7 linked regions of the Mus musculus genome follow. The protein of the gene in region 3 interacts with the protein of the main gene of each other region in a biochemical or structural test. Links are inferred from orthologs where the notes say so. Each region holds a gene or a part of one and is shown on either strand. Other genes may lie near its edges. The genes, in order: Src, Lyn, Kit, Plcg1, Ptpn6, Mpdz and Ptpn11.

The links.
Region 1: the proteins of Kit (region 3) and Src form a complex in vitro, tested with the Homo sapiens proteins (3 studies listed by BioGRID and IntAct, with this or other methods). The link is inferred for Mus musculus from reciprocal best matches to the Homo sapiens genes KIT and SRC.
Region 2: the proteins of Kit (region 3) and Lyn form a complex in vitro, tested with the Homo sapiens proteins (2 studies listed by BioGRID and IntAct, with this or other methods). The link is inferred for Mus musculus from reciprocal best matches to the Homo sapiens genes KIT and LYN.
Region 4: the proteins of Kit (region 3) and Plcg1 form a complex in vitro, tested with the Homo sapiens proteins (3 studies listed by BioGRID and IntAct, with this or other methods). The link is inferred for Mus musculus from reciprocal best matches to the Homo sapiens genes KIT and PLCG1.
Region 5: the proteins of Kit (region 3) and Ptpn6 form a complex in vitro, tested with the Homo sapiens proteins (2 studies listed by BioGRID). The link is inferred for Mus musculus from reciprocal best matches to the Homo sapiens genes KIT and PTPN6.
Region 6: the proteins of Kit (region 3) and Mpdz form a complex in vitro, tested with the Homo sapiens proteins (2 studies listed by BioGRID and IntAct, with this or other methods). The link is inferred for Mus musculus from reciprocal best matches to the Homo sapiens genes KIT and MPDZ.
Region 7: the proteins of Kit (region 3) and Ptpn11 form a complex in vitro, tested with the Homo sapiens proteins (3 studies listed by BioGRID and IntAct, with this or other methods). The link is inferred for Mus musculus from reciprocal best matches to the Homo sapiens genes KIT and PTPN11.

What each region holds. Positions count from the first base shown.
Region 1 is NC_000068.7:157,422,982-157,427,092, reverse strand, and holds the start of Src (neuronal proto-oncogene tyrosine-protein kinase Src), read right to left. Parts: upstream 2,801-4,111; 5' UTR 2,679-2,800; intron 2,266-2,678; exon of another isoform or gene 2,158-2,265; intron 1-2,157. UniProt on the Homo sapiens protein: Non-receptor protein tyrosine kinase which is activated following engagement of many different classes of cellular receptors including immune response receptors, integrins and other adhesion receptors, receptor protein tyrosine kinases, G protein-coupled receptors as well as cytokine receptors.
Region 2 is NC_000070.6:3,676,636-3,680,920, reverse strand, and holds the start of Lyn (tyrosine-protein kinase Lyn), read right to left. Parts: upstream 2,801-4,285; 5' UTR 2,557-2,800; intron 1-2,556. UniProt on the Homo sapiens protein: Non-receptor tyrosine-protein kinase that transmits signals from cell surface receptors and plays an important role in the regulation of innate and adaptive immune responses, hematopoiesis, responses to growth factors and cytokines, integrin signaling, but also responses to DNA damage and genotoxic agents.
Region 3 is NC_000071.6:75,573,629-75,577,786, reverse strand, and holds the start of Kit (mast/stem cell growth factor receptor Kit isoform 1 precursor), read right to left. Parts: upstream 2,801-4,158; 5' UTR 2,736-2,800; coding exon 2,669-2,735; intron 2,045-2,668; exon of another isoform or gene 1,741-2,044; coding exon of another isoform or gene 1,722-1,740; intron 1-1,721. UniProt on the Homo sapiens protein: Tyrosine-protein kinase that acts as a cell-surface receptor for the cytokine KITLG/SCF and plays an essential role in the regulation of cell survival and proliferation, hematopoiesis, stem cell maintenance, gametogenesis, mast cell development, migration and function, and in melanogenesis.
Region 4 is NC_000068.7:160,748,310-160,751,809, reverse strand, and holds part of Plcg1 (1-phosphatidylinositol 4,5-bisphosphate phosphodiesterase gamma-1), read right to left. Parts: coding exon 3,481-3,500; intron 848-3,480; coding exon 763-847; intron 668-762; coding exon 584-667; intron 375-583; coding exon 340-374; intron 178-339; coding exon 105-177; intron 27-104; coding exon 1-26. UniProt on the Homo sapiens protein: Mediates the production of the second messenger molecules diacylglycerol (DAG) and inositol 1,4,5-trisphosphate (IP3). Plays an important role in the regulation of intracellular signaling cascades.
Region 5 is NC_000072.6:124,720,207-124,723,154, forward strand, and holds the end of Ptpn6 (tyrosine-protein phosphatase non-receptor type 6), read right to left. Parts: intron 1,873-2,948; coding exon 1,805-1,872; intron 1,709-1,804; coding exon 1,557-1,708; intron 1,462-1,556; coding exon 1,370-1,461; intron 1,017-1,369; coding exon 902-1,016; 3' UTR 874-901; exon of another isoform or gene 703-873; 3' UTR 501-702; downstream 1-500. UniProt on the Homo sapiens protein: Tyrosine phosphatase enzyme that plays important roles in controlling immune signaling pathways and fundamental physiological processes such as hematopoiesis.
Region 6 is NC_000070.6:81,278,816-81,282,315, forward strand, and holds part of Mpdz (multiple PDZ domain protein), read right to left. Parts: intron 3,010-3,500; coding exon 2,886-3,009; intron 955-2,885; coding exon 808-954; 3' UTR 1-807. UniProt on the Homo sapiens protein: Member of the NMDAR signaling complex that may play a role in control of AMPAR potentiation and synaptic plasticity in excitatory synapses. Promotes clustering of HT2RC at the cell surface.
Region 7 is NC_000071.6:121,163,898-121,167,397, forward strand, and holds part of Ptpn11 (tyrosine-protein phosphatase non-receptor type 11), read right to left. Parts: intron 791-3,500; coding exon 598-790; intron 1-597. UniProt on the Homo sapiens protein: Acts downstream of various receptor and cytoplasmic protein tyrosine kinases to participate in the signal transduction from the cell surface to the nucleus. Positively regulates MAPK signal transduction pathway. Dephosphorylates GAB1, ARHGAP35 and EGFR.

The sequences.
Region 1 (4,111 bases), on a different chromosome or scaffold from region 3:
TGCTCTCCAGCTCCCTCCCAAGTTTCTCCCTCACCCTCACCCCGACCCTGCACTGCACTTCCTGATCCTTGGGCTCTCAGTGCCTCTGGCTTTCTGGGTTGAACTCCTACTAAACCTAGCTTCTTCCTCTTCTTCTTCCTTCTCCTCTTCCTCCTCCTCCTTCTGAGACCTGATCAGGGCTCCCACAGAATATGCAAGTCCAGACTGCACATCTATTCCATTAGCTGTGTACCTTGCCCTCCAGCTTAATCTGGTTCATAGAGAGGATACCCACCTGCTCCCTATGTAAAAACTGGAGGCCAAGATCCTCCTCCAGGCTCCAGTGGGCCCTCATAGGGAGCAGTCCTATTGATAGCGGCCCCATTGGATCATCCTATCTCATAGCTCTCCCTTTGGTTCCCCACAACAATTATACACCTCCCCTCACCTCAGGGCCTTTGCACATACACACCTCTCTCTGCCTGGCACACCTTCCCCTAGCTTCATGCCCAGACGCCCCCTAAATTCCTCCTTCAAGAGTCCTCTGCCTTTATCACAGCCACGAGTATATATTCATTTATCTGGCCACTTGCTTGATGCATGGCCTATCCCCCACACTCCAGTTTCTAGGAGTCAAAGACCTGCTCACAGTTTCCCAGCAAGTCCCCAGGCAGATGACCTTCTGAATAGAAAGGAAGAGCACTGACCCAGCTGCATTCTTGGCTGGCCCGCCACTGCTTCACTCAGCTTAAGCCCCTCCTCCAGGAAGCTGTCTGCTCCTCCTACCACAAAGCTGCTCAACAAAGTTCCCAGGCCCTGGTGCATAGTATATGCTCAATGCGCGATCAAAGTCAGCAGATGGACAGCAAGAACAAAGATCATTTAACCATGTCCTTCCGAGATTCCTGGGGGGCTAGGGGAGCGAGACACACCCTATCCTCACCCCCACCCTCAGATGACAATCAGGGAAGAAGCCCCAAACAGGAGCCAGCCTATGTGCTGGAGGCTGGTGGGGGAGAGGGGGTTCGGGAAAAGGACACAGGAGATAGAGGAAGGTGGGGTGGGAGAGATTAGGGTTGCCCTAAGGCTGGGATGAACAAGGATGAACAAGAGACTAGGGGGAGGGGACGGAGCAGGGAGCATGGCACTCCTAGCACTCATTAGTGTGTGCCCCATGATGTAGACAGGAGGTCAGCTGAGAGGTGACACACTGTAAATCACTTCCCTTGTGGAAAGGTTACCTCACCCAGACACACCTCATCTCCAGTAGGGCCTTATGTCTCTGCCAGGTGCGAGAGATATGGAGGGAAACTTCCAACAATGCCTTGTGCCTGATCTAAAACTACACACCCTTCACCGTCACGGTGGGTTAAAGGGCAGCCAGACAGCTCCTCAGGAAGGCTATATCCTCCTCTGCAGCTGCAGACCAGGCTAACCCCGGGAGGCGTTCACTGGATATCAGCAGCTCTGGTTATAACTGCTCCATTTTCTTTCCTGTGGTTCTGCAGCTAGCACCAGGGCCTTGAACAAGCTGAGCCTGTGCTCTACCACCGAGCTACCTCACAAGCCAACTGATCGATCCTCCCTGAGAGGACTGAGGCCAAAGGGAACCCTTTGTAGCACGGAGTTACCCGCTTCTGCAGGCAGCTGTGCCACAGGTACCTCAACCATCCTGTGCGAGCGAGCTCCAGGATGGGACTCATTTATTGAGCACGCCCCCCCATATATGCCAAGTCCTGGGCTGCGGAAGTGCAGGGAATAGTCACTGATGTGAATAGTCCAAGGGGCGGTCCCTGGCTCAGGTCACTCAGGAAAACAAGAAACCTAGACACCTGGACTCCATAAGGTTGGAAGAGTCCCCTGCCCCCGCCCCTGCCCCCGCCCCCGTGTCCACCTTGGTAACTAAATCTGACCTATACCCAGATGACCCCAACACCACTTGCCTTCACTGGGCAGTCTGTAAAGCCGGGAAGACCTCAGGGTCCCAGAAGCCTCACACACCTCTGTCCACCTTTCTAATCGGAATGCCTCAAAGGTTTATGGGATGGATACCCAGAGTGAGTCCCCTCTGTTCACCCCACCCTTCAACCAGCCCACCTACCACTGAGGAGGGCCTTGGCTCAGAGAGCTAACTAAGGCACAAGTGGTGGTGGGTCGTAGTAGGGGGCACAAACTCACCTCCAGTACCTGCCTGGGTGGGCAAGCGGACCTGGTGGCGGTAGTGAAACCCCAAAACTTTTGCCAACTTCTGAGTCCATCGGTCGCTGGGCCTGCGCAGGGGCGAGGCTGGGGGTTGGGGGGGATGGGGGGCGAGGACAGGGTGGCCCTGTTTCTTCCAGACCAGCAGCACTAGGCCCTACCCAAGGCCCCAGTGAGACCTAAGGAGGTAGTGTGGCCCTCCAGGTGCCCCTTCCCCAACGCCCACCCCACCCCCACCGCCCACTCCGGGCCGGGGGCGCCAGGCCCAGCAGCCGCGATCGCGGGCGGCGCCGATCGGCCGGGTTTTCAAATGTGGCCTAACCGAGCCAGGGGACTCTGCGGCCGAGGGTCCCCGCGTTCCGGTGCCCCCCGCACCCCGCTCGTCCTCCCCCGCGCATCCCAACAAAAGGCCGCGGCGGGCAGCTCGCGGGCCGCGGCGTAGAGTGGGCAGGGCGGGAGCCCGCAGCAGGGCGCGGGGCCGGCGGGGCGGGGGCGCTCACCTGCACGGCGACCGTGAGCTCCGGACGCGCCCGGGCGGACCCCAGCGGGGCGCGCGGCGCTGGCGGGCAGCGGCCTGGCCGCTCCGGCGGGGCGGCCGGTTGGATTCCGGGCCCGGAGAGACAGACCGAGAGAAAGGGAGGAGGCGGCGGCGGTGGCGGCGGCGGCGGCGAGGGGGAGGGAGCGCGCGGGAGGAGGGGCCGCGGCCGCCGCGAGCCGGAGAAAGGAGGAAGCGCGGACCCGGGCCCCGCCGGCGACCCGGGAGACCTGCTGTGCGAGCCGGGCCCGCGCCTCCCGCACCCAGCCCCCCACCCCCCGCAGCTCCGCCCGCGGGGGCGCCCCCCCAACCCCACGCCACGCGCCGGGCTCGGCCTCCCGGGACCACGTTAGCGTTCAACCCTAGCTACCTGAGCTACGCACCGGTGGCTAGCACTGTCCGGAAACTGAGGCACTGGCCACACCAGCCTTGACCCTGAGTGTCTCTAATCCTCAGAGACTGGAACCGAAGGGACAGGGAAATAGTGAGGGGGAGAGGCAGTATTGTTAAAATGTATCAAAAGGCAAAACAGTGGCTCACTATGTGGCCAAGGCTGGCCTTGAACTTGCGGAGCCTCCAGCCTCTGCCAATGGAGGGCAGGAACTTGCGGGGCCCAGCTCAATTAGGCCAAGCCTAAATTCACTTTCAATGCATAAGGAGACCGTGTGCATCTGCTGGGCAGTGTGCTTGTTGCCAGCCACTGAGGATGACAGAACCAACCGGACAGGAAGTAGAGAAGAAAAATGGGGCAAGCGGGATGAGATGTGGCTTCAGGCTGGTCTCAAAGACCACCAGGTTCTAGCGCTGCCCGTTGGGGGTCCAGGAGCATCCTTGACTCCTCCCGTTCACTCTGGAAAGATGGGCCTGACCATCTATCAACCATCTCCATGTTCCTTCCTTGAAAGTGCTTCCATCTCACAGACAGGGAAACTGAGGTTCATGTGGCACAGGCCTGGGCTTCTGGCAAAGATCCCTCCCAAAGGGCAAGTCCCCCATCATCCTAGATTGTGAGAGGCTCCAGCCCCAGGGTACAGCTATGTCTCCCAGGAGACCAGGAAAGGGCAAAGCTTTGAGTCAGACTGATCTGAGGTCACATCTAGGCCAGGTGCCTCAGGGTGTGTTCTGTCCACTAGCTTCCTGTTCCAGCCCCCTCTGTTGTGAAGAAGGAGTGGGCCAGGCTGAAGATCTGAGGGCCTCACTGACAAGAGCAAGTGGGGCCAGGGTAGCCCACTGTGGCCACGGGGACTGCTCAGGGTTTCTCATGAACAGCGGGCAAACTAGCCAGCCACTCCTGTTCGCAGGGCTTGCTTAAAGATTAACGGCAGTTTCCCAGGGCTCCCCTGGGCAGGCTCTGGCTGGAGGAGCAGGTTTCTCCGCCCTCCTCCATGCCTAAGATTT
Region 2 (4,285 bases), on a different chromosome or scaffold from region 3:
GCCAATGTCACCGGTTAATGTCCTTCAGTGTTGTGTTAATCTATGTATCCAAGGGATCACTGGTCCCCGTGAGCTGTAACAATGTCTTATGCTGTATACGTGTGCATATTGTATTCCTATTTATGAAATCAGTGAAGGTTTCTTATATGGTTCCAAGTAGTATCTCTGTAAAAACAAACTCTAATCTCAAGTGTTCCTGTAATTTATTTCTGAACAGAAACACTGCAGGAACTAGGAGGTCTTGAAAGTCTCTGATTTGCCAAGCTGTGCAAGACTACTTTTTCTGCTAAAAGGAAGACACTGGCCATGGAAGGGGAGTATCACAAAGCAACCATAGACTCTAAGATAAATTAGGGTGACTGCCTCTACAGAAACTGTTGTGTTTTCTCCAAGGCATGCAGAGAACAGTCCTGACCAGGGATTTCCATTGAAGGTTCCGGTGCCATTCTAAAATGTCCTCCTACCCTTGTTACAGAAACCAAGACAGAAGACCCCAACTCCATGTGTCCAGTAGGCAACCTTCCTTCCTCCTTCTAAGACATCTTCACTGAGCACTTACTTATCAGGCACCAGGCACTAGGACTTCATGTGGGACAAGAGAGATAACGTTGTTGTCTTGGCATTGACATTGTCTGGATGAAGAGCCCGTGAACATGGAAATATGTCAATATAACTGATGCTGCCCTGATGGAATGCTGACTCAGTCCATGGCCCAAGTGACTGGTCCAAAACTTCAGCTCTGGCAAACAGTGCCTACAACACACCTCCTGAGCTCTCTTCCTCCACATCTACTGTCCTCTTCAAGGCTCAGAAAGTTACTCCACTTACATATAGCCCAAACGGATCATAACCAAGGCTCTTGGGAGCTGAATTTTTAAAACAACAAAACCCCCAAATCACCCTGCCTTTCTCCAAATGAGGACCTGGATAGGCAGCAATCCTGAGGGGAGGAGAGTTTCATTTCACTTAAGAAGGGCCCAGGAAGCCGGGCTTGGTGGCGCACGCCTTTAATCCCAGCACTCGGGAGGCAGAGACAGGCAGATTTCTGAGTTCGAGGCCAGCCTGGTCTACAGAGTGAGTTCCAGGACAGCCAGGACTATACAGAGAAACCCTGTCTCGACCCCCCCCCCCAAAAAAAAAGAGAAGGGACCAGGAAGTTCCTGAACCCACAGGGCATAGCCTATTTCCCTAAAACATGTTATGGGTGTTAACTCCACAGAGAGAAAACACCCTACAGATAGCCGAGCTTCGGAGCAAAGAGTCCATCGTCTTCCACGTTAGGTCTTAAGATCTCTTGAACTGGGGGAATCCCAGGAACCTCTGAGGCAGCACAGCACACGTTTCAGGTGTTTTATTAGATAGATTTTCAAGTCAGCTAGCTCACTCAGACATGTGGTCTCGGGTTTAAAAATCGCCAAACTGCCAACCACCAAAGGCCTCCGATTTTATAGATGATCAGTTGTACCAAGTAACTTTCATATAACATTATATTCATATAATGTTCAAGGACCTTCAGTGTACTAAACCTATGAAGTAGGTTCATAGTCAATCAGGCGGAAACCCAAACCGGGAACTTCAATAATTCGCAGTCACTGAGAGAATGCAGGGCCTAGATTCCCACCTGGATTCTGAACAGCAAAGAAGTTGGGCGGATTAGCATAATTAACAAAAACACCGGTACTCCAATAAATAAAGAGACAACCACAAGCACCCCAAGTAGCGGGGACTATTGGGAAAAAAAACAAAAAACAAAAAACACTACACCAACAGCATAGGGAAGTCACTATAGTCAGCCAAGATAAGGCAGGCAAGTGGGAACTGTCGCACACACCCTTCCCCCATTCAGAAGGAAAGGCATCCCTGAATTCTTAAAATAACTCTAGCTTCCTCTTGGCCAAGGCGTTGGACTACTCCTCTGCGGGCTGACAGAAGTCGAGCTACGCGGGAGGTCAAGCTACAGCCTCTGTGGCAGCCGTTCGACGTCACCACCTTGCCTCGAGTCAACAGGGACCTCAGCTGTCAGCCAACCTTAGAGAGGGGCTGGGTTCAAACCCCCCTTCTCATCCCTGGGGACTCAAGGTCCGATCTGGACACTAAATACTGGATCCCAGATGACTCCCTCTGGAATCCCCACCGCGCTCCCTTTCGGAGTGGACTCAGGCCACTTCTCTCTGCCAGGCAAGAGAAGCTGGAGAGGGGCATGGGAGAGACTTGACGCCAAGGACCCAGGGGCGCCCACCCTGTGCGCACTGCCCACCACGCCTCCGCGCCGCTCCGCTGCGGACACCTGCGGAGTCGCCGCCCCCGCGTCCCCGCTCGATCGCCCCGGCGAGTCACAGTCTCCCAAGGCTGAAGGAGTCTAGATGCTCTCGCCACCCGGGGCCAGCGCGAGCGCCACCAAGAAGCAGTGCGCGACCTCTGCTGCGGGCGCCGTGGCTGCACCGAAACCCGGAGTCCCAAGCCAAGAAAGCGACCTGTGATCCGGTCTCTGACCCAGCCCCGGTCCCTGCCCGGTCCACCCTACGCACCCACCCTGCGCTCAAGCCCCGGACTTACTCGCTCGTGGTGGAAGTTTCGGGGCGGCGGAACTCCACGGTGACTTCGGTTAAAAGCTGTTCACGCGACGGGATAGCCCTGCGGGGCCCGCCTGGGAAGCAGCTGCGGGCCGGTGTCTTAGGACGCGTGACCGGGACTTGCGGGCACACTGCTCGGGGAACAGTGCCCGGCCTGCAGCAACCTATTAGCTGCAGAACGTTGGCCGGGAGGCGCCCAGGCCCGGCTCGGTGGGAGAGGAACTGGCTGTCGCTGGGCTCGGCCGAGAGGTCCCAGCTACTTCCTGGTGCTCGAATTTGCATACTGTGCTGGGAGGGCGGGGAAGTGACCGTTTGGTTCCTGTCCAAGGTTTGGTATTTGGTGTAGCCATCGCTCAGGGTTTTACAAGCAAACAGACTTTGGAGACCCAGACCGCAAGTTGGGAGAGTGGCGGTAGCCTCGGAAACAACATTCTCCCCAGGGCTGCGTGGAAGATCTAGGGGTTCTCGAGGGTCGTGGAAAACGTTCACCTTACTTCACTGTTCCTTAGGACCCAACTCCTCAATGCACTGTGTCTTGGGAGCAGAAGCAGCACTCTCTGTGTGTGTTTGGAGCTTCCAGAGAGAAAAAAACCGGTATCAGCGAGTAGATGTTTGGAGGGTATGGCGAGGGGGAATCTTTGCTTTAACAATCAAAACATCAAATTCCTTAAAGGTGTACAAGGAGTGCTGAAGATATTCACTGGAATGAGGAGTGGGAACTCGCTATGGAGTTAAAGGGCATGCCAATAGCTGAAAGCTTCCAGGAAAATGGAGCTAAGACTACTTATCAAGAACTGTCCTCTGTAGCAGGCTCGCATTGATTAGCATGTGGTCCTGGTAACATTACTGCATTCCTAACAAATGCTGTGTCCTTGTGTTCCTATGTGTACACAGTACTTGGCATACTGTAGGTACATAACCAGTGTGTGTTGTAAGATTGCTTGTTCAAACCAAATTTTGACTTGATAAATGCCCCTTACTGAACCAAGATATGCAATTAGCCTCAGTCACTATGATACCCACTTATGCTAATCTGACTTCTGTTTTCTGGGATTCCCTAATTGCAGTTCAACAGGTCAGAACAGGTACCTTGTAACAAAGTCCAGTACAGCTGTCATTTGTTACTAATGAAGGAAGACTAACATTTGTGAGCACACTGATTCACCAGTTTTGTTGTTTTTCTTTTCTTTTTTTCAGACAGGGTTTCTCGTTGTAACCCTGGGTGTTCTAGAACTCACCCTGCAGATTATGCTGGGCTTGAAACCAGCAATCTGCTTCCCAAGTGCTGGAATTAAAGGTGTGCACCAGCATTTCCTGGCCCCTCCATTTTTCAGTCAACCAGGGACTATGAAGATGGTGCCAGAGATTATAATGGAGCTGAAAAATCTGTATCACTTAGTGGTGTCGTAGCTGTCATAGCTCTTTCAGTGTGACAGTGCAAGACAGATCTACAGCGTTTGTGATGATGCTGATACCAACAAGTCCTCTCTACCGTTGTGGACCATGACTCCTGATTGCATCAAAAAGGACATAAAGTGAGTGACCTGGAGCACATAGGTTTAAGTGAGTGTACGATGTCTACCAGAAGACGAAATCACCAAAGAGCATGCTTCTTAGAGTGCCCCCATCACTAAGCCACAGGAATAACTCCTCAAACAAAAACAGTAGGAAGGTGGTTATTCCTATAATGAACAGTGCTACTGTCACTGTCC
Region 3 (4,158 bases):
CAGATTCTGGTGAGTTGTATAATGGATGCACAGTTGGGCACACGGAGCTGAGCTCCGGTTCCTTCACTGGCTGTTTTGGGCAAGTGACTTATTCTCCAATTGGAAAACAATGGTGGAATAGGAATAGACACTGTAGTGGTCTAACCTCCTGGGCCCCTGAGTACAGAAATGGCAGGCAAAGCCCTCAGTATGGGGAGCCTTGCAGACATTTACTGATTGTGAAGCCCCAAGTATGCACAAAACACATCCATGATATGATATTTAAAGCACAGTAGGAAGAGTGTTGCAAAAGCATGGCATACATGATTTATAACGTCATACGAATGTGTGGATGGATGGGGAGAGCCCAGAATGGGGGAGACGTGGAATTATTGAGGATCTCTTCAAGGAACTATCAGATTATCTCCAGCAGGATCGTAAGCCAGAATGCCAGGTGCGTGAATGACCATGAATGACTAGGGACTTGCACCTGCAGGAACAGGGGGTGTGGGGAGGGGGAGGAGGTCTGATTCACTGTTCTAGGACCATCCTGTTGAGCTGTAAACCCACTGTGAATGCCCCGGAAGGAGGGGTTACTGCAGAGCAGGCACTGGTTAGCCCTCCAAAGGTTACAGCATAAACAAAAACACAAAACTGCTTCCTGCAAAGCCTGGAGCAAAACCGTAACACACACACACACACACACACACACACACACACACCCCAAAAGGCCCTTAGACAAGAAAGCTGCTTTCTGAAATTGTGAACTCCTCAGATCCTTCGTGATGCAAATGTCTTCAAGTACCTTCCGTGGAAACCAAAGTCCCCCCCAACACACACCCACTCCCAATTTAAATGACCGCCCAAGGGCACAAAACCAAGGAGGCAGAATGGCTGAAAAGGAGGCCTGAAACGGGAGAGACAGAGAAAGGAATTACAACACACCCTGTGCCAGGAATCAGACCTTCAAATTCCCTCTGCCAAAAAGTTATTGGCCAGAGCAGACTAATCAGGGGGAAAATGCAAACCATTGACTCGTTTCTGTTTTCAAAAGGGAACTGTGATCTTTGTGGCGTTCCACCTTGCTCTAAAGCAGAACAAGGTGGAAAACGTAAAAGATCACTGGGGTCATTTTCAGCTAAGTGGTCAAATATGCCTAGGAATCTGAACACTCATTTGTGACCCTTGGTGACCCCTCTTCTGTGCGCGCAGAGGTCCAGATGCAAGACTTCCCCCACAAAAAAAAAGCCCTCTCCCAGCCTTTCAAAAGCATCTAGGGAGTGAGATCTGGAAAACGCAGTCAGCGGTGGGCTCAAAACAGGTCACAGAGATGCTGGCCATCTGACGCCTTATTGCAGCGTGCAGATTGTCTCTAGCCTATAGCATCAAGGTAACCTAAAAGGGTTTCTGGTTTTTGTTTTGAAAATGACCTAGGAGGGAGCAGGGCTTCAGGACTAAGCAGGCAACCTGCACGGGCAGTGCACCAGCGACACCTGGCAAAAAAAGGGGCAGGGCTGAGGAGCTCCGGAACCTTAAGATCTTGAGACCCAAGTTACCCTGCAAAAGGTAACAAGATTTTCCCAACAGCTTGAAGAAACAAATGCTATTTGCAGAAAGCTTACCCCTTCTCCCCCACCCCCTAGCCTCCCCAGGCAGCCCTGAGTATGGCTATCACGTGGGAGAGGGTTTCTGGATCTCGGGATTCCCCTCCAAAAAAAAAAAAAAAAAAAAAAAACGGCCACCTGCGATTACAAGTCGCATACACTGAAACCAGAGGTTTCCAAAGCTGGGGAGAACTGACTCGGTCCTGGTCCAGCGCGCACGAGGTGGCAAGAACAGCTGCGTCCCCGCACGCAGTCCCTGATTCCCAGAAGCTGGCGACCAACGTAGGCTACAGCAGCTCCCTGGCGCGTGGCAGCAACGAACACCGTGCGGCTGCAGAGAGGGGCGAGCCCCTAGCACGAGATTTACAAAAGGAAAAAGTCTGCAACCTAGCGGCTGCTCGCCACACGCCCGGCTCAAGTTGTCCCCATAGCCGCCACCTACAGGCTCGTGGGGTCCCGCCCCAGAGCCTCACGCCGCGTGCTCCCCGTGCAAAAAACGGAGTTGGGTGGGGGCAAGCAAGCCCGAGATTCGTCTCCTCGGGTGGCGCCGCGCACGATGAGAGCGGCTGCAGTTGCGTCCCCAGCACTGTGCACAAAGAGCGCCCGAGGTGGGGAAGCAGCGGCCGCAAGAAAAGGCTCTCCAACTTTGCCCGGCGTGTGTCCGGGACCCGTGGGCTGGTTGTCCCAGGCGTCGGTCACCCACGCGCAACTTTTAACAAAAAGGAAGCCGTGGCCGCACCTCGCTCGGAGAGAGGACGCTCTCGGTGCGAAGCCCGAGGCCGCCCGCCCCTGCCACCCGCGCGCAGTCGGCACAAAAGCATCACCAAACTCGCCCGCAGCCTGCAGCTCGCTGCCTGGGTTCCCAGAAGACCCTCGGCCCCGGGTCTCCACCACCCGGGCTGAGGTCTCTCAGCTCAGGTGAGCGAGGCGGGCCACCAGAGTCCCGCGGCCGCCTACCACCTTCGAGGTGGTAGGCATGGGAAAAGCCAACAGCTACCACTCCGGACGCACCCAGGTGGCACCCCTCCCGGACCCGGGCTGCGCCCACAGAGGGTGCAGTCCTCTTGTCTGCCGCTCTTTCCCACCTGTCTGGCCACGGAGCAGGACCAACAGGACGCAGAGCAGATCCCAGGCGCCGCGAGCGCCTCTCATCGCGGTGGCTGCGCTAGACTCTGAGCTCCTCTCTCTGCTACAGCTCTCGCCCAAGTGCACCGAGCGCGGCAAAGCCGAGCCCCCAGAGCCACTAGCGGCGCGCGACAGCCCCTCCTCCAGCCCTCCTCCCAGCTCGTGGCCACGCCCCTCCCTTCTCCCGCCCGGGTCGCACTCCCTCCCGCTGCCTAGTGCCCGGGGCTCTCGGGCTGCAATAAGCTGATCCCGGGGGCGCTGTGCCCTCTAAGACCAGGAGCCCCCACAGGCCCTCCACCCTGGATCCTCTTCCTCCTAGCACTCTCCCTCCATCGGTGGTCCTTCAGTCCAGGCGGCTGGCTGGCCACGCAGGTGCTGCCCGCGCTTTGTGAAGCCCAGCGCCACGAGCGCATTAGGTACGGGCCAGCCACCTGGCAGGTGCTCCCTAGACAATAAAGGACAACCACCGGTCCCTCCAGCAAGCTCCGGAGCGGGGAGAATATATTCGGCTTATGGTGGAGGTGTTACTAGTCGGGATTGCCGGGCGAAGGGATTAGGAAACTGGGTCCCCAACATTTATTTCTGTTCCTGTTGGTAGAGGAGGACGGATCGTGGCACCCCTGACCTCAGTAAAAGACCGAGCCCACGTTTAAGTAATTTTTCATGCTCAGTTTCTCCACCTGCTGCGAAACCTGTAAGAATACAGCTGATTTCTATTGGCCAGCGTGGACCTCCACCCAGCCAAGCTCCTGCTGAGACTTGTGGAAACTGGGCCAGTGGACTACAGAGGCATCCTGTGAAGGAGTTAGCTTTGAAACTCGGTTTTTAAAACCTATTTGCATTTGGGTGCCTTTTCTCTTGTGTTAATTATTTTTTTAATCTCACCCTCAACACCCCCCCCCCGCCCCATCCCCTCTGAGTCCCCCTTTCCCCAACTCGATCCGACTGTGGTCTGCCTTAGGAGCAAGATAAAAGCAAAATAATTTCCTTTTAAAGTTTTTTTTTAATGTGTATGAGTGTTTTACTTACATGAATATGTGTGTGTGCCACGTGTGTGACTAGTGCCCAGGGAGGTCAGAAGGATGTCAGATCTCCTGAAACTAGAGTTACGGATGCTTGTGTATCATCTTGTGGGTGCCTGGAGCCCAACTACTCTTGTTCTTTGTTTGTTTCTTTGTTTGTTTGTTTGTTTGTTTCGAGACAGGGTTACTGGCTGTCCTGGAACTCACTTTGTAGACCAGGCTGCCTCGAACTCAGAAATTCGCCTGCCTCTGCCTCCCAAGTGCTGGGATTAAAGTCATGCGCCAACTTTCTTGTTCTTAACTAATTGACCCAACTCTCCAACTCCTAAAGTAATTCTCTTAAGACAATTTCTACCTAGGGACATTTCACAGTCACTGTGGCTATCCGGGGGTGGACAGTAACAATCTGGGTTTTTATAGTATCCGGG
Region 4 (3,500 bases), on a different chromosome or scaffold from region 3:
TGGAGCCGGTCGACAGCCCACAGCTCCTGCCAGGTAAAGAAGTCATGGAGGAGGCCACCAATGATGAAGCCACCCTGCAGCCTAACTCCCTGGCCCAGACATACCCCCTGGTATTCAAGGAGGAACTGCTGGAACTCAGAAAGGGACACCTGGCAATGCTCCGGACGCTCTCCAGTCCTGTAGGGAGAAAACCTAGTGTCTGGCACTGGCTGACAAAGGGCCCCCGTCTAGTGTAGATACCCAGTGGTTTATTATGCCCCATCCCCATCTACCCACTGCTTCCCACCTGGATCTGAAACCACCCAGAGAAAAAGCCCAATTGGCTGTTCCAAACCAAACCTCAAAGCGTTGGTTTCCAAGAAGGGAAGGTCCATCTGCAGAGAACAGAATCTGGTCAGGAGGAGCCCTGGGAGGCCATGCAGGAAAGGGGCTCTTAAGAAAAGGCTAGGGAGCAGATGCCCCGGGGGAGGGGTGTGTGTGGCTAGAGTAATGGCACCAAAACCACTCCAAAGCAGGGCAGCAGGGCTATGAGAGAAGGCAGAGGAGTTGGGCCAAGGACAGGGAGGGTGGGAGGTTCATGCACCGTCTTCTGGGCGCTGTACATGAGGCTGCGGTACAGCTGAGCAAACTGCCCGTAGGTGATGTCCCCGCTGCGCTGTTCAAGGTCCTACATAGTACAGAGCAAAACTGCCAGTCAAGCCCCTTAGGAGGAGTCACTGGCCTCCCCTTCCTTGCCAGAGGATAGCCCCAAGTGTCCATTACCGTCAGCCGCTCTCGGAGGAAGCGCATATTGGGGACTCGGTAGTTGACCTGAGACAGCATGTTCTTCAAGTCCTTGGCTGATATACTAAGGGGAGAAAAAGGATTCCCTTTTGACTTTAGGCTGAACCTAAGGATGGACAGGTAAACACCTATACTCTGGGAACCTGCAGTCTTAAGAGCAACACTCTTTCAAACTTCATGCTGTGCTAGATGGAGCGAGTTCCTGCCTTTCTCTGGGCCTCAAGTTTCTGCAGTGAAAGAGAAAAAGCCCAATAGCCACAAGTGACCAAGCTCAGGAAAGCAGAGGAAAGCAGGTCAGGCTGGGATGGGAGGCAGAATAAGCCATTTCCAGCAGTTGCCCCCAGCTCTGATCTGCTGCCTGTACAGGGCAGGGCAGTGCCCACTGCCACTAACGGAGGCATCCTAGGACCCACAGTCCCCAGGATAGGTAGCAGGGAAGGGAGCGCGGGCACCCTTAGCCATGTGTAACTGCTGCTGCTGAGCACACTCCTGAGGCTCCAGGAAAAGAACTCAGAGAGAGGGACAGAAGGGAAGAGAGAAGAGGGAGAGGAGAGGGAGACAGAGAGAGAAGAGAGCATCAGCGCACTCTACCCTCTAAGCATAGCAGCTTGGACAACAACAGGATGAAAAAGCTGGAAAAGGATGCTCTCCTGGGAGGAGTGGGTGCTGGAGAGAGAACACACCCTCTTCTGGCCTAAAGCCAGGCACGAAAGACCAAAATTCCCTAAGGCTCGGATCTTCACCAATAATTGAATGTCCTGGAACAGGTAGTTCCCAAAGTAATGCTGCGCCCTTTTAATACAGTTCCTCCTCACGTTGTGGTGACCTCCAACTAGAAAATTATTTTATCACTACTTCCTAACTGTAACTTTGCTACTGTTATGAATCCTAATGTAAATGTCTGCTGTGCAGAAAGTCTTAGGTGACTCCTGGGAAAGGGTCATCCAACCCCCCCCACAGGGGTCGAGACCCACAGGTTGAGAACCAATGCCCTAGAGTCAAGGCTCTGCGGGGAGCATTGGGTCACCTGACCCTCAGTCAGCCAGGAAGCTGCAGTCAAGCCTGTCTCCTCCCTTTCCCGCTGTCATAAAAATCACACTGCTCTCTCCACCCTGCCCTGCTTAATTCTGTGTTTGTTGTCCCTTCCCCTCTATGCAAAACTCCTTTTTTAAGAGTATTTATTTATTTATTTATTTGATGTATGTGAGTACATTGTTGCTGTCTTCAGACACGCCAGAAGAGGGCATTGGAGCCCATTACAGATGGTTGTGAGCCACCATGTGTTGCTGGGAATTGACCTCTGAGTGAGTGCTCTTAAGCGCTGAGCCATCCGTCCAGCGCTATGGAAAACTCTCACAAGACTCACCTGCAATCTCCTCTGCCCCTAAGCTGCTCACCACGGACTGAAGCTGCTTTCCCCACAACATGACTACTCAGAAGGGTTAAGCATACTCCTCCTTTCCTAGCTTCCCATGTGGAAGCAGTCTGCAGCTGCCACTTGGCCTCTTCCCTTTTCTTGCTATCTGGGTCCCTGAGTTTTTATCTGGGGACCCCAAGAGTTTCCATTTCACCTGTCCACAGTCCTGTGTTACTACCTCCAGCCCGACCTCCTCATTTGAACTCATTCTACCAGCCTGGTAACTCCATACCTCTCTACCTGGGAATCTATTATGCACCATAAAACTTACATCCATACTGGACCCTAAGCTCCCACAGTAAGTTCCTCCCACTGTCTTCTTGTCTCAGCCAATGGCAACTTTACTTCCCAGTTGCGCATGTCAAAAGCCTATTGATCTCTGACTTTTTAGATGCAATTTTAAACAAAGAACATAGCCCAAATCCAGCTAATTCCTACTATTATTACCTCAACCTGAGCCCTCTCACCTACACCCAGAATGGTCGGACAGTGTCTAACAGCCCTCTACAGCAGTATGATCTTGGTTGTGTTTGCCTAGTTTTATGTCTTCTTGACACAAGCCAGAGTCATCGGTAAAAGAGAGAGCTTCGATTGAGAAAATGCCTCTGTAAGATCCAGCTGTAGGCAAGCCTGCAGGGCATTTTCTTAATTAGTGATTGGTGTGGGAGGGCCCAGCTCTATGTTGGTGGGTAGGGACACCTCTAGGCTGGTAGTCGTGGACTCTATAAGAAAGCAGGCTGAGTAAGCCATGAGGAGCAAGCCAGTAAGCAGCACCCCTCCATGGCCTCTGCATCAGCTCCTGCCTCCAGGATCCTGCACTGTTTGAGTTCCTGAGCTGGTTTCCTTTGGTGATCAACAGCAACGAGGAAGCCAATTGAAGCTGAATAAACCCTTACCTCCCCAAGCTGTTCGTTCATGGTGTTTCACTGCAGCAATTGTAAGCCTATGTAGGACACTGGGGAAACTCTAGGTCAGAGCAGGTCACTCCTCTACACATCCCATGGCTTCCTGCCTCTGGGGGACCTTGCAACAGTACAAAGCAGCACTGACAGCAGGCCATCTGGTCTCTGCTTCCTCCAGCTCCTGGTGCTCTGGCTGCATTGCCAGTTACACCTAGAAGTCCAGCACTATCTCTGTACCCCACGCTCAGCAGCATGGACTACTTTTGTGTCAGAGCCCCTAACCCCTCCCAATGTAACTCAGTTCTATGGACCCTCTGGCTCCAATGCTCTGGGTGCCTCTACCCACTGGTTAGGCATCCGCCTCAGCTTAGCACCTACCGATCCTCTCGGTTACGATC
Region 5 (2,948 bases), on a different chromosome or scaffold from region 3:
GTTTTCTCCACTGTGAAATATCCAGACTAACAGGTGGGGGTTGCAGCTCACTGAGAGAGCTATTCACTGCCTGCTGCCTAGCGTGTGAGAGGTCCTGGGCTTTGTCCCCCAGTACCACAAAAGAATAAAACAAAAACTACAGTGCCTAGAGTTAATTCTACAGCCTCTTTAACTAGTGCCTGGGTCTGTTGCCAGTGTGTACTGTGGCAGTGGCATTGTTCCGGGCAGCCAGGGAAGGCAGGTGAGCCCACATCACCCTCTGTGTAGGCTGGAGCACTTGCCTACGATATAGGAGGCCCTCGGTTCCATCCCCAGCATGAATGAGAGAGAGAACACAGAGCAATCTAAGCCCTAGGGCTGTTATGGGCATCTAGCCGTGTGAAGCCATATCATAGCTGGGGGAGGGGAGACTACACACAACCAGGTCTATCTGACCCCAGCCACACATGGCATCCCAGCCCGTCCTGCCCAGAGTCCCTGGATACAAGGGGCACAGACTTGGAGGCAATACACAGTGGTCCAGGGAATTTATTTACAAGAATAGAAGGGCCCGGCTCTCCCTGGGGACTTGCCGGGCTATATACAGATTCAGATGACCACAGTCACTTAAATTACAAGAAGATGGGGGTGGTCCTAGGGTCTGGTGAGGGCCACAGGTCTCAGTCTATCGGGTGGAAGCCTCTGCAGGGATCAAGGCTGATGCTGCAAATAAAAGAGAGGAAGTGGATCAAAGGTTGTCTGGGAAGGGGATACAAGAGCTAGGGACACCCTAGCAGGGTAGCGTGAGACTGTGACCGTGCCATGCACGCACGTCTGAACTGAAGTTGGGGAAATGGGGGCAGGGAGAGAAAGAACACACAGAAGGGGCCGCACCATGGCCACCTGCAGACGAATGCCCAGATCACTTCCTCTTGAGAGAACCTTTGTTCTTCTCCTTGTCTGCCGACCGCTGCTTCTTTACTTTCTCTTCCTTCTTGCTCTTGCTATGCACGTTTTCGTACACCTCCTCCTTGTGCCTGGGGTTGGGAGGGGACAGGAGGCATCTGGAGACTGTGCAGGGTGACCCAGCACCAGCAGCCCCTCTGAGACTCTCGGTATGTGAAGCCAGGAGAACAAGAGAGCCTGCTCACTCTGTACAGTGGACCCACATGGCCCGGGGACAGAGACGGCTTCTCACACAAGTCCATAGCACGGGCCCACGTGGGGTCCTAACGGGCACTTCAGGGAAAATTTAAGAACAGAGGGAATAGGAAGAAACTTGACCTTGAACCAGGGTTTCTCTAGCCTCCACACTAATCCACTCCAGAAAAGGACAGTTAGGGCTGGGCAGTGGGGGATAGAGCCTAGGAAGGCAAACAGAACCACTCACTTGGAGGAAGTACGCGAGGCTTTGGCGTGGGCACTCCTCACAGCGGGAGGGTACGTGATATTCCCATACTCCGACTCCTGGCCCTTCTGGGACTGTGGGCAAAGGTGCGGTGGGAGGATGGTGGTACCAGCAGGACTAGGTGATGCCCACACTCCCCTACCACCCACCAGCCCCACTCCGGACACACTTGTATGATCTCCAGTTTCTTCTTGGTCGTTTCGATGAACTGGGCAATGGCCACGTAAATAAACTTGTACTGGGCCTCGGTCTGCACCATGCCGGAGCGCTGTGCTCGTACCATCTGGATGGTCTTCTGGATATCAATGTCACAGTCTAGCCCTGGACAAGGGTGGCAGGGGAACTTCAGGGTAGACAAAGGCCAAGGGATGGCTTGCCCCCCTCTCACACCCACACACACTCCCCAGGGCTCCTCACCCTTGGTGGAGATGCTTTCCATAAGCATATCAATGACGATGATGGTGCCCGTGCGGCCGATGCCAGCGCTGCAGAGACAAGGGACTGCCATCAGAGGCCTGGCCCTCCCCAGGAAATGGTGAGTCTCGAGGTCCACCCCAGCACTAGACGAGGCAGGTGTGTGTGTGTGTGCATGTGTGTGTGTATAGAGGTCACTAGGGCAGTGAAGGAGGGGTTTGCCTCGCTCTGTCCCCATGTTTCTGCCCAGTCACAGGATAAACAAGCCAGGGCCTGTTTTGAGGTGCAGACACCTTTTCCCTCCTTCCAAGCATCTGTCCCCCACTCCTCACAAATGATGGCTGTCCTCGTCTCTTGGAGAAACAAGATCCACAACCTGTGGCTGGACAGTGGTGGAACATGCCTTTAATCCCAGCACTTGGGAGGCAGAGGCAGGTGGATTTCTGAGTTCGAGGCCAGCCTGGTCTACAAAGTGAGTTCCAGGACAGCCAGGGCTATACAGAGAAACCCTGTCTCGAAAAACCAAAAAAAAAAAAAAGATCCACAACCTGCCACCACTGTCCTGCCTTTCCTCGGATACCTGGGCTTCTCCCACTCCACCACCGCCCCTCCCCGAACTTTTTTTTTTTTTTTTTGGTTTTTCAAGAGGGAGTAACTCTTTAAAAATGGTGCTGTACCCCTTTAATTCCAGCACTTGGGAGGCAGAGGTTCAAGGCCAGCTTATTCTATTCTACACAGCAAGTTCCAGGTCAGCCAAGGCTACACAGAGAAACCCAGTCTTTACAAAGAAAGAAAGAAAGAAAGAAAGAAAGAAAGAAAGAAAGAAAGAAAGAAAGAAAGAAAGAAAGAAAGAAAGAAAGAAAGAAAGAGAAAGAAGGAAAGAAAGAAAGAGAAGGAAAGAAAGAAAGAAAGAAAGAAAGAAAGAAAGAAAGAAAGAAAGAAAGAAAGAAAGAAAAAGTTATTCAATGATTATCGTGCAAGCAAGCATGCTTATGGAAAAAAAAAAAAAAAGGCCAGGCAGAGTGGTCACGTAACCACACCACCAGGGGATGACAGGAGGTAGAGACAGCTCCCTGGCAGCCAACCTAGCTGAAGTGATAACCTTCAAGTTCAGTGAGAAACCCTCTCTCAAAAAGTAAGGTGGAAG
Region 6 (3,500 bases), on a different chromosome or scaffold from region 3:
ACAACCAAAATAATTACTAACACGCTGTCTTTTTCTATGTCATTAAGATTAATACTAATGGAAAAACAATAGCATGGTACAGTAACATGTTTTCCACGTAGTATCAGTCTGCTACATCAGCATTAGAACACTCTGGGCTCCTTCTCTGTCTCCCATGGCTACATGGATGTTTCCTAGAACTCTAGCCAACACAGGGTAGCATCAGCACTTTACCTATAACAACATGAAAATATAGCAGGTTAAAACTGAAAACAAACACCGAGATATGCACTAAACAGGAATTTCTTTTTAAAGCTTACAAGGACTGCTAAACAATTTTAGCAGAAAAATATGCATTAGAGGTAAGTAGGACCAATATGTCACAATTTTAAAACAGTAGACTATTCAAAAGTATTGCAAGCACTTTCTTTTCTTCTTTTGGACTGCTGGATTGAAGAAGTCCTATAAAACTCAAAACTGTCTTCTTTTTTTCTAAATTTCCATCTTTAACCTAATTGCCTAACTTTGTATCATTTTGTTTCCACACTAACAAGATGAACATATAATAATTTTGTCCACGTGACCTTAAATTGTTAGATATTGTCGAGATAAAACTGAGGTTTATCTATGCAAATATCTCTTCTTTTTGAGTATATGATCATGAAATGCAGAGTAAAGGAAAAATGATGCTTGGCTGTGAGTAACAAACACTCTGTTTCTCGCCTCCCTACTGTAGTTTTCTCCGACCAACACAGCATACAAACAGGTCCTCTCTGTTACAGTAGGAGGGGAGCCAGTGGCTGGGCTGCTTCAGCTCTGGCAGTCACTTCAAGAGAGAACCATGAGGGTGACGGTGCCCTTTGTCCTCTTGAGGATGGCAACAGCTTCTTCATGGGTCACTCCTTCTAGACTTTGCCCATTGACAGCAATGATCTGATCGCCCCTTTTTAGACGCCCATCTTCTGCTGCTGCTCCCTGCAAGTATAAAGTAGGCTTATTTACTTGTGAAAGAACTCAGCCACACACAAAGAAAAAGAGCCAAAGAAGAATGCAAATTGCTCTGCATGTACACATACATGGCTCCCGGTGCCCCATACCATCAGACATGATGAACATACTTAAAAAAAAGAGGTCCTTCTTCCAAATTGGTTTAACACTGACATTCCAATCTGGTAGTGAAGTTAGCTAGCAGTCAACAGAGTAGCTGGAATTTTTTTTTTTTTTTTTTTTTTTTTTTTTTTTTTTTTTTTTTTTTTTTTTTTTTGGCTGTTTAGGACAGCAATTGGTGGCAACTAAAATTAATAAAGAATATTTGGGCATCTGCCTAACAGGAATGATTTCACAGAAACGGAGGCTTTTTCAGACTATAAAGAGGGCCTACAGAAAGACAAAGGATCAGGGAGAACAAAAGCAGCCTCATCAAACAAAGCTATGGAGACTTGAGAGTCCACAGGTTTGCTGAGCCAGAAAGCCCACATAGAGGCTGATCAGGGTAAGGCAGAGTGAGAATTTAAAAGCCAGTGCTGGTCTGGGGAGACACCGCTCATGCAATGCTTGTTCAGCATCAATCGGGCTCTGAGTTCCATCCCAGCACACAGCTCAGACACGAGCCCCCCAGCACTGCTAAGTGTCATTCTTTCTAAGCTTTGCAAAGAAAGACTGCTCAAGCTGTCTTGGTTTTTACTGCAAGGGAAAAGAGAGTCTTCCTATTCCTATAGGCTCTAAATAATTATGATTAAACACAGACATCACTATTTAAAAAAGAACTCCATCTCAGGCATGAACATAGACGATAATTATGCAATTAAATATAAGATTAAAAATATGGAAGAGTTAATGAGGAGCGTATAATGATGAAATTCTTAAAATATGTTCTAACTAGCATGCCTTAAATAAATTGTTCCTAGGCCGAGGAAAAGGATTGCATGGCGCTTCTATTCATTGGCAAATGCTGTCTGTATTTTTGGATGTACCAATAACTTAAAAAAAAAAAAACAACTTACAAATTAAGCCTACAGCTAGTTTGCCACAGAACAGCACTTTAAATTGGTTGAAAATAGTAGTGTTTTTCTAAAATAATAGAAACTTCCATAACATAAAGGAGCATTTAAAGAGCCCAAGTGGAATCTTTACAGGCCTGATGTTCACTCTGTTCTTTTCCACTGTAAAATGTGAGATTCTGAGTTCTCTTCTGCAGGAAACGTTGTTCAAATTTGTAGTCTTTGAAAATAGATCTTAACAACACATTACCAACCATTATATGCATTTCTATTATTTTAATGACTTCATCAAAATTACAGTCTCTTTATTCTTATTCTAAACATTCTTAAGATGGTTCAGTGGATGATTACAACTATACACAGAGCTTTCTTTTCATAAGTAACTGAATCCCTTGATTGCAAATAATGCTTTATTACAGACAGCAGGTCTGCTCACTACTCCTCAATTCTTTTTCTCTTTTCAATGAAATTAATGTATAAACACCCTAGTCATAATGTGAGATTAATTTTGTGTATTTTTCTGTACCTACTTTAGATTTCACAACTATAAAAGAACACGGAGGAAAACATGCCAGTTCTTGACAGCAGATATATTATCAAAGTCCATATTCAAAAGGTAATCATGTGTGACTTTCTATTCAATGGAAGGGACAGGCTGCATCGATTGTTTCATGTATATCACTGAGAGTTTCCATGGAGTTTCAATTTGAACTAATTTTCTCTAAACATAACTAAACCTCAATTAGGATAAAAACATTTAATAACCTGTTCCTGCAGAGATTTCAAAAGAAAATATCAATGTTAACCATTTGGCGTCACGTCAGGCCTTAAACTAATAAGCTAGCTGCTGACCAGTGTTAATTAATGTCTAGTAAGGAACAGAATGGGTAAACCTTGTAAGCTTACCTTTGCAAACACTGTTTTCACATAAATTGGTAAGTCTCCATGAGGGCTGCCATAGCCGCCTACAATGCTGAAGCCTAAGCCATCTGGTCCTCGGTCTAGCGTAATGGTCTTAGACTGTGGAGGGCTACAGAAAAAGAAAGGAGAAAAAAAAAGGTCACAAACACACACACTCACTTGGTTCTGTGCTTTATGCTTTACCTGATTCAAACTACAGATAGTATATCCTCTATGTTACAGATAAGAAAGATGCTATTTATTGAATGCTTTCATAGCACAGAAACTCTCCTTCTTTTTCCAGTTTATTGAGAGGGGATGAAAGTTCAGAGAACCACAATGTAGGATCATAAATGATAGTCTCAACTTCAGAGAGGAAAGTCAACTGTGAACAAGATAAGGGCAGCATTGAATAACTTGAAAATTTAAATGTGCCTCCCTTTACCTTTTATCTTTTCTAATACTTTTATATTTAGTGTGTTTTCTAATATATTCAGTATTTTCAATCACAGTTCATTGAAGAAGAGCAAGATGTCCTCTCAAAAATATCAAAACTGAAAACCCAGGAAGTGTAGTAGGGTGAAGAGCTATTTGTAGTATACTCATGTCTGATTAGGTAAC
Region 7 (3,500 bases), about 46 Mb from region 3:
GCAGGGGCGGCAAGAGAGGAAGGCAGGGGAGGCAGGAGACTGCAGCTCAGTGATGGGACAGGTACTAGGCTCCATCCCAGCACCAAAGACAATAAATGGCATAAAATGAATTAAATCAAAATCAAATGTAAACTCTATAATGACACAACACACTTCCCATCACCTCAGACTCCTCACCATGCCTCTGCCCAGCATCACGTGATGTCATGTGTGCAGCCGTGATGCTATACACTAGGGAATGTGACAAGAAAGCAGTCTGCATGTGTTCAGATAGACACAGGATGCTTTTCTGAAGTCTGCTGACCCCAGGGGTGCACCCACAGACATGGGAGGGACAGTGCAGTGTCACCAGCCAATGGGCTTCAGGAGTCATGGATCCATACAACCCATCTCAGAAAAACAGAAACAAAACAGCCAACAGAAAAACACAGCAACAACTAAAAGGAAAGAAACAACAACAGTGCTTCAAAACGATGGGCCCCACACGGGGTGCAGCCAAGCAAGGACAGAAGGACAGGCGGTGTGCTGGTGTCTAGTCCTCTCAGCAGAAGCCCCCAATGCAGCTGATGCGGGCCCACAGTCCCCATGGTGCTCTACCTGACAGCGGATCATGACGTGGGTCACTTTGGACTTGCCGTCGTTGCTCTCCCCTTTGTCGTCACCAGTGCGCACGGAGAGAACGAAGTCTCCGGGGTGGCTCTGGCTCTCTCGAACGAGGAAGCTGCCATGCTTGCCCTTCTCCGTCAGCAGCTTCTCTGCTTCTTTTCCAGACAAGTGACCATGGAACCACCTGTGAACATATTTGACAGGGAACAAGCTGAGCTCAGCTGCGGTGTGTGCGCGCGCGCGGCACGTTCTCACGGACCACACTCACTCACTCTGCTCAGCACAGGCGCCTGACACACAGCTTCCTCCAGAGGGTACTGTCTGACAGGCAGTCTACATCTTGGACAGGAAAAATGACAAAGATATGTTAAAAATGACAACTAAAATTCGATTTTCTCTTTTGAGGCAGTCTCACTGTGTGACCCAGGTTGGTCTTGAGCTGTAGACCGTCCTGCCTCAGGCTCCTAAGTGCCAATATTGTGAGCGCCTCCACCACATCTGGCCTCCATTAAATCTTTTAAAGGAGCTCAGAATCACTGGAAAACAATGTCCACAAGACAATGATGGTACACACCTTTAATCCAAACACTGGAGAGGCAGAGGCAGGTGGATCCGAGTTCTAGACCAGCCTGGTCTACAGAGTGAGTTCCAGGACAGCCAGGGCTACACAGAGAAACCCTGTCTCAAAACCAAACCAAACCAAACCAAACAAACAAAAAAACTATATCCTCAATGCTTCCTATTTCCTCTTAAATCTCCCATCTTTTAAAAACACAATTTGGGGGCTGGAGAGATGGCTCAGCAGTTAAGAGCACTGACTGCTCTTCCAGAGGTCCTGAGTTCAAATCCCAGCAACCACATGGTGGCTCACAACCATCTGTAATGAGATCTGATGCCCTCTTCTGGTATGTCTGAAGACAGCTACAGTGTACTTATGTATAATAAAAACTAAATCTTAAAAAAAAAGCCAGGCGTGGTGGTGCACGCCTTTAATCCTAGCACTCAGGAGGCAGAGGCAGGCGGATTTCTGAGTTCGAGGCCAGCCTGCTCTACAAAGTGAGTTCCAGGACACCCAGGGCTACACAGAGAAATCCTGTCTCGGGGGGGAGGGGGGGGACCACATACACAATTTGACTTTTTAGTGCCTGACTCTAACAGAGCCAGTTGTTGCATTTAGTGAAGAGGTAAGAAAGTTGCAACTGGGTGTGGTGGTACATGCTTATAATTCATGTGCACTGCTAGCTTTAGTCAACTTCATAGAAGCTACCATCACTTGGGAAGAGAAAGCCTCAATTGAGAAAATGTCCCTATCAGACTAGTCTGTGGGCTAACCTACTGCACATCTTCTTAATTGATGACTGATGGGGGAGGGCCCATCACTGCTGGTAATGCCACCCTTTGGCTAGTGATCCTGGGGACTATAAGAAAGCAGGCTGAGCAAGCCAAGAGAGCGGGCCAGTAAAGACCATTCCTTTATGGCCTCTGCATCCGTTCCTGCTTCCAGGGTCCTGCCTCGAGTTCCTGCCCTGACTGCCCTGGATAACGGACTATAAGCTGTAAGGTGAAGTAAGCCCTTTCCTCTCTAAGTTGCTTTTGGATATAGCATTTTATCCCAGCAACAGAAACCCCGACAGAGACCCCATCCACTGAGGAGAGGAGACCGAAAATGAAGAGTACGAGGTCATCTGCAGCTACACAGCCATCTGGAGACAGCCCAGCCTACATGAGGCCTGGATTCCAACAACAAACAAACAAGTGATCAGAGACCCGGGATCACATGAACCTGCTCCTGCCGTGCCACTAGATACAAAGGGGTCTTTGCTGTAGCTAATTCAAAGCATTTCAGCTTTTTCCCTATTTCCAACCTAATTGTACTTGTCTCTGACTCTGCTGGCCAGGTCAAACTACACTGGGCTATCCAGTCAAGCTTTAATGGTGTTCCATCCTGGAGCAGGCACAGGGGTTTCCTTAACAGTGTGAGTTCTCATGGACAGAGAGAACAACGTCTACATGGGACCAAGACATCTGTACTTTAGCTAGTGTGCTAGGAACCCTTGATACAGGCTGCCCAGAGCCATCAGATGGCAGACTCTAAGACCAAGGCTCTTAACTTAAGCTGTCACAGAAACATCCTGACACAGTCACTCGATCGCTATGGCTTTAGGTAAGGAAGACGCTAACCCGAGCAGTAACACTCATCACCACAGACTTGGTAGCATTCTTCCATCTACATGCCCCTGGAAAGGCACGTGCAGATCTAAAGCAGGTGGAGACAGCTTGAGACTACAGTAGTAGCCAGAGAAACAAATTTCTAGCAGGTAGGACAGAAAGCTGGGAAAGGCAAGACCCAGGATCTGCAATGAGAGAGGAGAATGCAGAAGCCAATGCCAGGTAAATAAAGCAAGTACCAGCTCTCAACTCCCATTCCCAACACCACCACCCTCCCACCCCGCAGCGCACATAGGAAGAACTTCACAACATGGCAGTTCTTTCTCTACAGACACGGATGTGCTACACATTTGGGAGAGAATGCTAAAAGCTGATGAAAAGCTGGTCCTTCAGGACTCTGCTTTTCCACTTCTGGGCTTAGCCTGACCTCTGATGGTACTGTTGCTAAATAACTGGTCAGAGCACCTTGCAGCACTGCTGCTATTTCGGCATCTCAAGCTCCGTATTCTCTGCCCCAACTCCCAAAGCTCATCAGCTGTTGATAAAGGTTACAATTAAAGCACATTCTAAATCTACCTGGAGAAAACGTAGGAGCCCTATAGAATCTGTGTAAGGAACACTAACTGCAGCTGCTGCAATGAGGGTATTCTGCCGATACTCTGACACTGCAGGCAGGGCATGTAGCTCAGTATATAGAGTGCTTTGCTAGCATGCACCAAGCCTAT